Caenorhabditis elegans: one gene and its partners. The protein of the gene in region 2 binds, or shares a complex with, the protein of the main gene of each other region. Each region holds a gene or a part of one and is shown on either strand. Other genes may lie near its edges. A codon is read from its position in the direction of its gene.

Evidence for each region.
Region 1: the proteins of tofu-6 (region 2) and tofu-1 are in contact, whole or in part, in a crystal structure (PDB 9G6Z), measured with the Caenorhabditis elegans proteins. Residues at the interface, in NP_001293507.1 of Caenorhabditis elegans: Ser259 (codon at 2,879), Asn262 (codon at 2,888), Ile263 (codon at 2,891), Val266 (codon at 2,900), Trp270 (codon at 2,912), Met273 (codon at 2,921), Glu274 (codon at 2,924), Ser299 (codon at 2,999), Leu301 (codon at 3,050), Arg304 (codon at 3,059), Leu305 (codon at 3,062), Lys308 (codon at 3,071), Val310 (codon at 3,077); in NP_505568.3 of Caenorhabditis elegans: Glu85 (codon at 2,179), Ser86 (codon at 2,182), Leu87 (codon at 2,185), Leu88 (codon at 2,188), Asp89 (codon at 2,191), Leu91 (codon at 2,197), Leu92 (codon at 2,200), Gly93 (codon at 2,203), Lys94 (codon at 2,206), Ala95 (codon at 2,209), Leu96 (codon at 2,212).
Region 3: tofu-6 (region 2) and ife-3 share a complex: the UniProt entries of both Caenorhabditis elegans proteins name them as parts of the tost-1 variant of the PETISCO complex.

Annotation. Positions count from the first base shown.
Region 1 is NC_003283.11:9,979,574-9,983,333, forward strand, and holds tofu-1 (Schlafen-like protein 1), read left to right. Parts: upstream 1-1,573; 5' UTR 1,574-1,827; coding exon 1,828-1,863; intron 1,864-1,910; coding exon 1,911-2,115; intron 2,116-2,167; coding exon 2,168-2,492; intron 2,493-2,546; coding exon 2,547-3,102; 3' UTR 3,103-3,193; downstream 3,194-3,760. Other genes in the region: ruvb-1 (RuvB-like 1), read right to left, coding at 1-68, 126-837, 915-1,010, 1,058-1,123; C27H6.9 (Mitochondrial genome maintenance exonuclease 1), read left to right, coding at 3,307-3,663, 3,720-3,760. UniProt on the Caenorhabditis elegans protein: Component of the trimeric PUCH (precursor of 21U RNA 5'-end cleavage holoenzyme) complex, that acts as an endoribonuclease processing the 5'-end of precursor Piwi-interacting RNAs (piRNAs).
Region 2 is NC_003280.10:5,419,358-5,423,251, forward strand, and holds tofu-6 (Embryonic developmental protein tofu-6), read left to right. Parts: upstream 1-1,890; 5' UTR 1,891-1,921; coding exon 1,922-2,088; intron 2,089-2,132; coding exon 2,133-2,223; intron 2,224-2,270; coding exon 2,271-2,411; intron 2,412-2,454; coding exon 2,455-2,778; intron 2,779-2,827; coding exon 2,828-2,999; intron 3,000-3,044; coding exon 3,045-3,160; intron 3,161-3,214; coding exon 3,215-3,307; 3' UTR 3,308-3,380; downstream 3,381-3,894. Other genes in the region: EEED8.15 (PHR domain-containing protein), read left to right, coding at 1-465, 514-576, 1,068-1,532; F07F6.7 (Apolipoprotein L, 1), read right to left, coding at 3,486-3,611, 3,659-3,754, 3,803-3,894. UniProt on the Caenorhabditis elegans protein: Component of the pid-1 and tost-1 variants of the PETISCO complexes, which have roles in the biogenesis of a class of 21 nucleotide PIWI-interacting RNAs (piRNAs) that possess a uracil residue at the 5'-end (also called 21U-RNAs) and embryogenesis, respectively.
Region 3 is NC_003283.11:6,021-9,370, forward strand, and holds ife-3 (Eukaryotic translation initiation factor 4E-3), read right to left. Parts: upstream 1,810-3,350; 5' UTR 1,799-1,809; coding exon 1,631-1,798; intron 1,590-1,630; coding exon 1,413-1,589; intron 1,374-1,412; coding exon 1,138-1,373; intron 1,091-1,137; coding exon 916-1,090; 3' UTR 568-915; downstream 1-567. Other genes in the region: idpp-2 (Intrinsically Disordered Protein, expressed in Pharynx), read left to right, coding at 4-491; B0348.10 (uncharacterized protein), read right to left, coding at 2,555-2,719. UniProt on the Caenorhabditis elegans protein: Recognizes and binds the 7-methylguanosine-containing mRNA cap during an early step in the initiation of protein synthesis and facilitates ribosome binding by inducing the unwinding of the mRNAs secondary structures.

The DNA of each region.
Region 1 (3,760 bases), on a different chromosome or scaffold from region 2:
CATTAGTTCAGCCACTCCACTTTCAATGTATTCGTTGACTACTTTGTTGATTTCAGAACGAAGACGATCTAAAAGACAGAATAAAAATTGAAAGGTTCGAGTTTTAATGTTTATCAATCACTCACCAGTAACTTCAGTTTTCTTTGGAGTCATCAGCTGTGAAACAATGTTACTAACATCTCCTTGACGTCCTTGTGGACGGGCATTTGCGATATCCAGATCATGCAAAGACACGTTTTGAACAATATCTTTAGACTTTCTAACATCTCCTTTCGGCATTGGCACAAACTCGTCAGCCTCGAGGTCAAACTCAGATGCATATACATCACACCGTCCAACTCGTTTAACGATTCCTGAGTTCGCTTCAATATAGATGACATCACCAACTTCTACTCGTTGCTTCAAAATCGAGTCATAGATGCTTGGATCCAATTTCAGTTGCTTGCTTCCTTTTGCTGTTTTCAAAGAAAGGACAAGATGAGAGATGGTTTTTCCCATTCCGGAATTATCTGAAGCTTCGACGGGGCTCAACTCTGTAACTTCTCCCTCGTACACATCTTTGGTTTCCTTAACACGCAGACCAATAGCTCTTCTGAAACTTCTCATGAGCACTTCCGTTTTCTTTACTTCATTGGAAAAGACCTCGCTTGCAACAAGTGGCACAAATGGAACGCCGTCACCCAACTCCTGTGACATTGCAAGCGCGATTGCAGTTTTTCCAGTGGCGGGTGGTCCAGCAATCAATACAGCTCGTCCGGCCATACACTTCAATCGAATCATATCAACTACAATTGATGCAGCTGTTCTGGCGGGTGCTTGGCCAACGAATCCAGCAGCCTGTAGAAATAATATTTTATTTAGCATAGGCTTTATTTCATAAGTAGTTATTGAAATTGGACAATTGAAAAAGAAACCTCATAGTGAGCTTCTTGTGTTTCTGTGTCAATTCCGAGTCCCTTGACGTGACTGTGAGCCGCAATGCGTTTAATTTGCTTTGGAGTTGGTTTTACCTGAAAAATTCGATTTAAAATACTAGGTTTTTCAAAAATTAGCTCACTTCTTCGATTGGTGCAAGTCTTGAAGAAGAAGTACCAGATATTGCCTCATCGACTTCCATATCCATTATTTTACGAAAGCGTCAGCGTGAAAATAGAATGAAAAATAGAAATTTAGGGAAAGAAAATAAAATTCGAAAATGTGTGCAGCCATCTCATTTTACGCACAAATGCAGACAAACAGCAATGGAAGGAGACCCGAAGAACTCGGGGGATGTCCAACTGGGGGGATTACCAACTCGGGGGATTGGCCCCGCCCACAGAACCGTGGCTTGCATTACGCCCATTTCTGCAACTGCCGCACGGTTTTAAAACTGTATTTTTCTCAATAGAGCGAGAATTAACAAGAAAAAATAATTTTAAAACCGTGCGGCAGTTGCAGAAATGGGCGTATTGCAAGCCACGGTTCTGTGGGCGGGGCCAATCCCCCGAGTTGGTAATCCCCCCAGTTGGACATCCCCCGAGTTCTTCGGGTCTCAATGGAAGGGAAAGAGGAAAAAGAGATAATATTCTTATTTGAAGTAAATGTCAAATATAAGCCGAGAGTAACTTTTCTAAATAAAATGAATTTGCGAAAGTTGTATAATCACCAATAGAGATCCCAAGAAATTAAAAATGGCATTCCATTCGGGAACCTGTTAATGTAAAATAGCAATGTACCTTTAAAGTACGGTAGCACAACTTTGAGACAATTATCTGGAATTTGTCCCAAATCCTGCTCCCTCGACAATCCTTCGAAATCGAATATTCTGTCTCAGTTATTTTTGGAACAATGGCTGCGCTTTTTGAAGAGAATGATTCTTATTCGGTGAGTTTCTGGATTAACAAGAATAAAGTATAATTCAAGAATTTTAGGATTCCGAAAATGAAGAAGATTTTAGCGGCTTTTTGAGTGAAATCGAAGAAAATGAAAACGAGGATGAATTTGAAAACGACGATGAGTTTGAAGACGATGATGAGCTTGAAAATGTGGATGAACTTGAAGATGACGAATTATCCTCTGAAGAAGTGGACATCCCTTCCGAAAATGAAGTAATTGTCGAGCTTCACGATGGTCAAGGTGAGCAGTTTTATAGTTTTTTGCTCTTTTTCTGTAACAAAATATTTTCCAGCCGAAGTGGAGGAATCACTTCTTGATGCTCTTCTTGGAAAAGCATTGGCAGGAGATCAGATGAATTCTCGAATTGAAGGACTCTTCGAAGACTTGGACTCTTCAGTTGAACCTGATATCATCGATCGCAGCGAGTTAGAGGATGTGGACAGTGGTATTAGTGTTGGAGCTGTTAGTTCTTCCTCTGCAGAAACTCAAGCTTCTGATGCGAAATGCAAAAATAAGGATGCTTTCGACATGTCTTCACTTAAGAAGTATATGCAGTACATCACCGAAGAAGAGCATGCCGTATCAGTAGAAGATATTCCAGATTTTGCTTCCAAAAAGTAGGTCTTGAAGCTTTTCTGAATATTTTCTATTTCAACTCTTCATCCTTCCAGAAATGTGTATGGAACCAGCTTCAACGTTCGCAACGGAATCATGTCTCGTCCACCTCGTTTCGAATTTGCTCGTCACGATCAACGCTGGATCGATTCATGTGTATCCATGGCATACGAGAAAGACAAGACATTGAAAGAATTGATCACACTGGGAAAGTTGACAACAACTGTCAAGGCTGGAGCCAAAATTGAATTCAGAACCAAATTCACGGATGTTCATATTCGAAGTGCGGATGAAATTAACTTGATGGAGACACATGACATCCAACAGATAATCCGTGATGCATTGAATTCAAAGCGTCTCGCCGTGGTTCTCTTTGGTATTGGGAAAGACGGAAAAGTTACTGGATGCCACATGGGTCCTGGTCAACAAGATAATCTGCGTCTTGCTCTGGATACTGCTGTTCAAACCGAGTTTGCACCTCCAATTGAGAATATTCTCGACGTAGTTGACATGAACTTCGTTCCAGTTGAAGAAATGGATGAGACGTTTCTGATTGTCATTCGAGTGAAACAACTCCGTAATCAAGTCTATCGTTTAGAATCATCTGTTTGAAGTTGTTAATCTTCTGTTTTTGTTTTGTTCGTTGTTTCGCTTAATATCGCCTCCATTATATCTGTATCATGAAGTTTTGTACCAATTTCTGATTGTTGTTTAACGATATTCGTAGTATTCCTGCATGTGATTTGCTATTTTTATTTTTGAACGGTCGGTTAATTTTGAACAAAACAAGCAATTTGATTCCAGATAAATCAGATCATGTCTCGAAAATGCACAATTCGCTACGGAACCTCAATAATGCCAAGTTTTGCGAAGCTCATAGATGTTGCTCCTCCAACGGAAGCGGAATTTAATAATCCGTGCCTATTTCCCGAGAAACGAATTGCTGAGAATTCTGAGACTTCAACTCTCCGACGACCTTTTCTTTCAGCAATCCTTTCTGCGATCAGTGACCAAAAAGCATTATATTTGTGGCAGAAAGCAAAAATTGACGAAATGGGATTGAGTGCATTCAAATCAAGTATGACGGAAAGAATGTCACTGGGAACCAAAACTCATACAAAAGTTGAAGAGATGCTAAAATTAGGACACCACGAGTCAAAATTGAATAATCTTGTAATTATTGAATGCATTAAAAACACTGCAAAAATATTTATCTGGTCAATTTTCAGATCGATAATGAGAAAAATGCTGCTATCAGAAATTTCATGAA
Region 2 (3,894 bases):
TTGAAAATGGAACAGAGGTCGAAGGAAGTTCAAGATGCTTTAGATATCCTTAGCATCAATGGAGATGTTTCTTCTGACGAAGAAGCAGTATCTGTAAAAGAAGAATCTTCTGATGAAGCGGGAGTTAACACTTCCCAAGAAGTTATTCAGAATGATGATACTGAAGAATCTGAAAAATCGGAAACTATATCTCGTGAAGTGTCCAACACCGATGAATTCGGGATTGGAAACAATGTGGGATTTACTGCAAAAGTTGATGATCTTATTGAAAAAATCGCTGAAGCCGTTAAGGATCAACAAATATCAGAGACCACTGAAATTCGTTACAGTGATCCACTTGGGGCATTGGAACCTCTCGTGGGTGAACCCAACGAAATTGAAAAATCAGAACTTTTGTCTGAAATTCGCCAATTACGATCTGAAATCGAAGAGATGAAAGAAACGGAAGTGAAACAAAATTCAACGGTATAGTTTTTTGTAGGGATAAAATTAGTTGAAAATGTTTTTTTCTAGATAAGACTTCTCAAACTGAAGTTCGACGAGATTGACGAAAGGGAGAGACAGAAGGAATTACAGGTAAATTTTTGGAAGGAACTTAAGGCATCCATGGCATCGGTGGCAGGCAGGCGTACATGCCTGCCAACTCTCAATTTTTTACATTTGGAAGTGAACTCCAGTGCAATTTGAATAATGTAGAGCTACTTTGAACCAAAAAACTCCTGAAACTAAATGGATTTTAATTTTCGCAACATATTTTCTGCGCAAATATCTCGTAGCGAAACCTACAGTAACTTTTTCAATTCGAACTAAACTGAAAGATTTGGGGTTACAGTAGTCATTTACATATTACTGTGGATTTCTCTTCGAGATATTTTGAGCGTTAAATATGTTGCGTAATAGGCATTCTCAGTTGGAAATATCTACATAATAATTTAAAAAAATCATAGGCTTTAAACAAAAGATTTTGTGAAAAATCAGTCTCATTTTGGATTACAATTCGGGAGTAGCTTTCCTAAAACTCCTCCCTATCAATATATATTCCATCAAAAATTTGTTTTAATTTCCAGCGTTACACTCCGATTGCAACTGGAATCTGCGGTGCTTGGCGGCTCTCCGAGATCAATAAGTATAATGAAACACTCAAAACCCGTGGAGTATCGTTCCCAAATCGTCTGAAAACTCTTGCTGCTTACACCGTATACAACTTCGATGGTACTTATCTGAAATCTCACAATCAAGTTTTTTGTAAAACGTTTAACAGTGGCTGTTTGAAACTTGGAACTCATGAGATAACCGGTGGAATTGTTGTATCAACCTTCATTTATAGAAATAAAATGATAACAATTTGGAAGAATAAAGATGGAACTTCTTGTGTAAGAAAGGAGAGATACATTAAAGATGGAAAATTGTACAATGTGCACACAAACAATTCCGGCGAAAGGACTATACGCATTTTTGAACGAGTTCAGGGAAAATCAGATATCTTGTACTCAATTGCAAACGTCGGAGGACTCTATCTCAAATTTTGGTGATCACCTGCTTTCTTCAATCCACACAACTTGGTCTCGCAACGAAATATCATCTTAATGATTCTCAAATTCACAGCATTAATTAATTCGCTATTTTATTCAATAATTTTTAATTTTCTCCGTCCATTTGTCTTTCAAAATTTTTTAAAGCAATTTTTAATCATTTTAATCGTTCTCCGTGGGAAATAATGAATCTTTTCGAAATTCTGTGCCTGTAAATAATGATTTCAAGGGTACTGTAGTTTTTTTTAAACAAGTGCGCTCTATTGCACACCGCTGGAATACGCGCGAAAAATGGGAGATTTCATTTTTGCTCGCTTTTTTTGCATTTCAAGCATTTTTTTAAAATTAAAGCAAGAATATTTTCAGTTTCAGAATTACATTTTTTAGAGATGGCTTCCAGCTCGACCGCATATTATCTGAAAGACGCCGGATTCCATATTCGCAATATTCCGAAAGCTTGGAATGATTGGAACTTGTTCCATGTCTTCCAAAACTTTGGAAAAGTCAGTTATTGCCGTGTTGTTGGACAATCCAACGATGGTCAAGTTCAATTGGGGTAAGATAGTGAGACTCTAGAAACGATTCATTTAAAATCTTCAGATTTGTGAACATGATGTCGGTAGCAGATGCTGATGAAGTTCGCAAGAATTTGAACGACGGAAATCTGATCGGCGAAAATTTCACGTTGAAGGTGAGCGTTGCGAATATATAAATTCAAATTAAAACTGTAATTTTAAGGTTACCGATCATAAGAACGTCGGAGGATCTCTTCTCCCAATGGCTTCCAATTCCGTTCAGAAGCTTGTATCATCTCCACCATCGAAAAGCGGACCAGTTCTTCTATCATCATCCTGGCTTCCACTCAACAAGGATATCGAGGTTTCTTACTTTTCCTTCAGCTTATATTAAATTTTCAATTTAGGTCGAAGTTGTCGACTATCTTCCATCCTCATCAGTGGCTCCAGATCTTTTCGCGTTGACTCTTCTCCGCATAAATGATTCGTCAATGAAAGAAAAATATGATTCAATGCACGAGAAAATGAACGCGTATGCTCAAATTGTTCCATTCGATTCGGAGCTCGAAATTGGCTACGATGGAGTCTTCCGTGATGCTCCCCGTTCCGTTCGACGCGTTCGACGCATCTCAGCCACCAAGCTTTATCTCGTTGATTTTGGAAAAATTATCAATTATGAGAAGGCAAAATGCTTCCAATTGCCAAAAGTTTTCCAGTCGATGCCGACAAGGGTAAGAGTTCCATTCAAATGTTTAACATATTTTTTCTATTTATTTTCAGGTTTCCTTGTGTGGACTAGATGGTCTTACCTGGTCACCAGTCGCCATTCCATCATTTGATAATATTCGCGAGGTTGTTAAAAAATGGGGACAAATGGAAAATTCGACGCTTCACGCCATGGCTTGTGGATTTCAAGGCTCTATTAACATGATCAATCTGTTCTGTGGAAAATGTGCGTTTTTTCTTTTGAAAATTCCCCTCATAATAATTTTTACAGCGATTCTTGCTGACCGTCTTCAACGTAAAGGTGTCTGTGAATACTTGCCACGCAGTCAGCAGCCACACTATGCATACTCCCGCGAGACTCTTCTTCAGCACAATAATTCTGGAGTGGTGAGATTTGATGATTTAAAGGGATTTTCAGTTTTAATTTGGCTTTATTTTCAGACTGCTCAAATTTCGAACGATGCTGATGTCGTCAAAGATCTACTCAAGAAGATTGATGGAGTGAAGAACATGCTCCGTGAGCTCGAGCTGTAAATCTGTCCCATTTTTTTTGTCGAAATTACATTGAATCTATGATGTTGTCAAAAAAATGAACATTTTAATTCAGTGTCAGATTTTATAAGAACAACAACAAGAAAAATAACAACGAGAAAACAACAAAAAGAAAAGAAAATCAACAAGAAAAAAATCAAGAAACTTTGAAAAGTGAAAACTAATCGCTGTTCCAGGCGTCGTAATTCAAGAAGTTGGTTACAACATTGTGTCGCATCCTTTCCATCTTGCCGGAAGCTTCACGAATTTTTCCTGCCAATTCAGAGGAAGATCCGTTTTTAAGCGTCTGAAATGAAATTAATATTATATTTTGATAACATTGTTCGCGGTTACATTAGCGCTCATGGCCAGGGTAACACCGTCCAGAACGATTCCGATGGCTGCAACGCTCTGCAGCATTCCTTTCATAAGTGCATTCGTGAGATGGCCCTAAAAACGAAGGTAAAAATTTAAATTTCAAAAAAACAACTATTCTACCATGGAAGATGCGGCCATTTTAATTCCGAATCCTGTGATTCCGGCGAGAGAAACACCAAAAAGTGTTTTCAAATGAGACTGGACATCGTCGA
Region 3 (3,350 bases), on a different chromosome or scaffold from region 2:
CAGCTGATTACGCATCTAACGACCTGATGAACAGTTTCAATGGAGCTACAAATTCCGCGATCCCATCACTTCGCGAGCTTGCCACCTATGCGTCACGCTATGGTCCCGCATATCTTCGCGAACGATTCGGAAGCCATGATTCCCAACTTGAGCGTATGCTTTATGGCGGCAGTGGACCACAGATCCCATCACGTGGAGGAGGAATTCCCATAGATTACAACATGAACATTGCTTCGAATCACTGGAACCGAGGAATTGGCTCTCCGATGGGAATTATGTCGCGGGATGTTGATTCCTATCAACACGACGATGCGGCCAAAGCAAACAAAAAGACCACTACCGGCTCGCCGAGCACGACGAGCACACGGAAACCTCGGAAAGCTAGGAAGCCAACCAAGAAGACTGTTGCCGCAGCTCCTTCGTCTAGCTCGAACACATCGACTACGGCAAAGCCTGCAAAAACTGTAAAGACATCGGAGAAGTCTGCCTGAAAACAAGAATAGAATCAATTTTTAAAAATGTACAAAATCAAACGCCCTACAAATCATGTGTGTGAAGAAGAATAATAACTAACATATCTATTTATATTTACCGAATAAATATATATTCATCAATTAACCTGAAGAACAAACGAATTCGGCTACAGGCGTCGATCAGTCTCGAATCTAGTAACAACAAGAGAGCAATACGAAAACCGGTAAATCAATAGGGGGAAGCGAAACAGTAGGTACAAATTGGAGGGGAAGCACCAATACATTAGGTGGGGGGTACGACTTGAAAAATGAGCTGATTTTCGAATAGTTAAAGCGATGATCGTGTCCGAAAAACAGTTCATTTTTCAAGACAACATTGAGACTGGGAGTACGGGGAAGCTCATTTACGGTGAGAGGAATTGGTGAGATCTTTAGAATATGCTTAAGGAGTTGGGGTGGCTGGAGAAGTTCCTGTAGCCTCCGTGCCGGGATTCGATGGAGAAGTCGTTGCGGCTGGTCCCTTTTCCTTCACTGGTGCTGGATCCTTGGCTGGAAGACATATGCGTGGCTTGACAGTCGATGAGGTGCGAGCCGACGAGTCCTTGTGAACTTCGTATCTGGAAATATTTTACTTAGATAGCAAATACTAAAATTGTAAAATTACCTCAAAATCTCAGTATCCGGAATGCTCAATTTCTGCTTCAAAACCTGTCCGATGCGAAGATTGACATCATCGCGAGTAGCATCACGAGTCCACAAGGAAACCTTGTCACCCTTTTGACGAACATTCACGACAGCTCCGCAGATGTAGTCTCCGTACTCGTCGAATTGCTCTCCAACAATAGCCATCAACAGCTCCAACCAGTAGTGATCGAGCAATTGCGTTCTTCTCTGAAGCTTCTATGATTCATTGAATAAAATATATTTCTCAAAACGTACTTGCTTATCGACAACAACCAACCAACGTCCACCTTGAACGTTGTTGACGTCCTCCCACATTGGCTTGATTCCTTCCTTGAACAAGTAATAATCGGATCCCCAGTTCAATCCTCCGGCAGACTGAATGTGATTGTACAGCGACCAGAAGTCCTCGACAGTGTCGAAAAGTGAAACCATCTGGAAAAAATCGATAAAAGACGTATTTAAAAATCTTCTACCTTCAGACAATCCTCCCATTCCTTGTTACGGTCAGCTTTCAAGTACCAGAGAGCCCAGCGATTCTGGAGGGGGTGTCTGGTGAGAAGCTCTGGAGGAACTGAAGCATCGGACGCATTCACATCGCCGGAAGCTGACAATGCTTTGTTTTCCGCTACGGATGTGCTCATTTAGCTGAAAATAGGTAATATTATATACGATTAGAGCTCGGAAAACGATAAAATAGAGAAGAGTATGAATTTGGTTCAAATAACTCGGATTTTATAGGAAATTTTGTTTTACTGCACATTTTCGGCTAGTTTCCAAGCTTTTTAGATTTTTCAAGTGTAATTGGTAACATCGGGCACAATAAATTGATATTAAAGCTTGGAAAACAATAAAACAAAGTAGAAAATGAATTCAGCTCAACTTCGACGAAAAATCATCAAATGATTCGTTTCCCATGAAATTCCTAGTAGTTTTTAAACATTCTAGCTGTTTTTTAATCGTAAAAGTGAAAAAAAAAAGAGCGATTTCCCCGAAAAACCTTGGAAAATGAAGAAATGGAAAGAAAGGCGCGAATCCTGAAATTCAAACACCAGACACACGCAAAACGAGTGTAACCGTAGTTTTTGTCGTTGCGAAGTATCTTGTCTGCGGAATTGCGCCCCCCTTTAAACAAAACAGCGGAAAATATGAAAATTATTTTTGTATTAAAATAAAAATCGAGTTGTTTAGGTAAAATTTTTCAAATTTTATTGAAAATTCGGTAAAATAATGAAATTAATCGCTGAAAACTCGTTATTCGCACAGAAATTGAGCTCTTTCAGGGAATTCAGGCTAAAAAATTATATTTTCAGGTTTAAAATTCAAAAATTTATTTTCCAGATTGCAGTCGATAATCTGAGTTTTCCCAAAAAATGTGCATTGTTTACAGCCTGTGGTTCTCAATTTCTCCAATTTATCCACGAGTGCGTCTCCGTTTTCTTTTCTCCTTCTGCCGCATTCAGCGTCGCCGTCGTCGTCAGGAATTCATGAGCCGTCCCGGTGTCTCGAGCTCTTGTGAGCATACACACAGACACATACAGCAGCAGCCTCCACAACATGCACATATAAATATATCGGTCTGGGTGTTGCTGCTGCTGCCGCTGGGCGCCTTTTCCCTCTCTGTGTGCCTCAACTCGTCGCACATATCTCTCTCTCTCTCTCTCACTTTGCCTTGTTTTCCCTGCCCATCGTCCCGTAAAAAGGTGGCCAGACAGTTCTCCGAATCGCAGAGACGCAGCAAGCGTTGCCCCGAGGCGCCATTCGTCTAACCTACTGCGTCTGACACCCCGCCGTCAGACGACGTCGGGGGCCCTCCGACGACGACTTCTTTCGCTGTATTTCTCTCTCTCCTCCGTCTCCTCCTCCTCTCCACCACATCGATTTTCCCGTTTTAGAGTGTTGGCGGTGAGCCATAGTCACGAATACTTTGTCTATTTTTTCGGCGACGGCTGTTGGGCTTCTCTTCTCTGCGTCTCTCGCACTCTTGTCCGCCTTCTGACCGTCATAATTACCACGTCGTCCACGTAAAGTCTTCGGAGAGCGCCACGCCCCCACACACACATACACACAACATTTTCGTAGCCGCATTATTCTCCTAACAATCATCGTTTTTTGCTAGTTTTCAGTAGTTCCACAGACTTAAAGGAGGATCACCGAAATTCGAGACTTGGCTTTTTGGGACCCAAAATGTTCCAA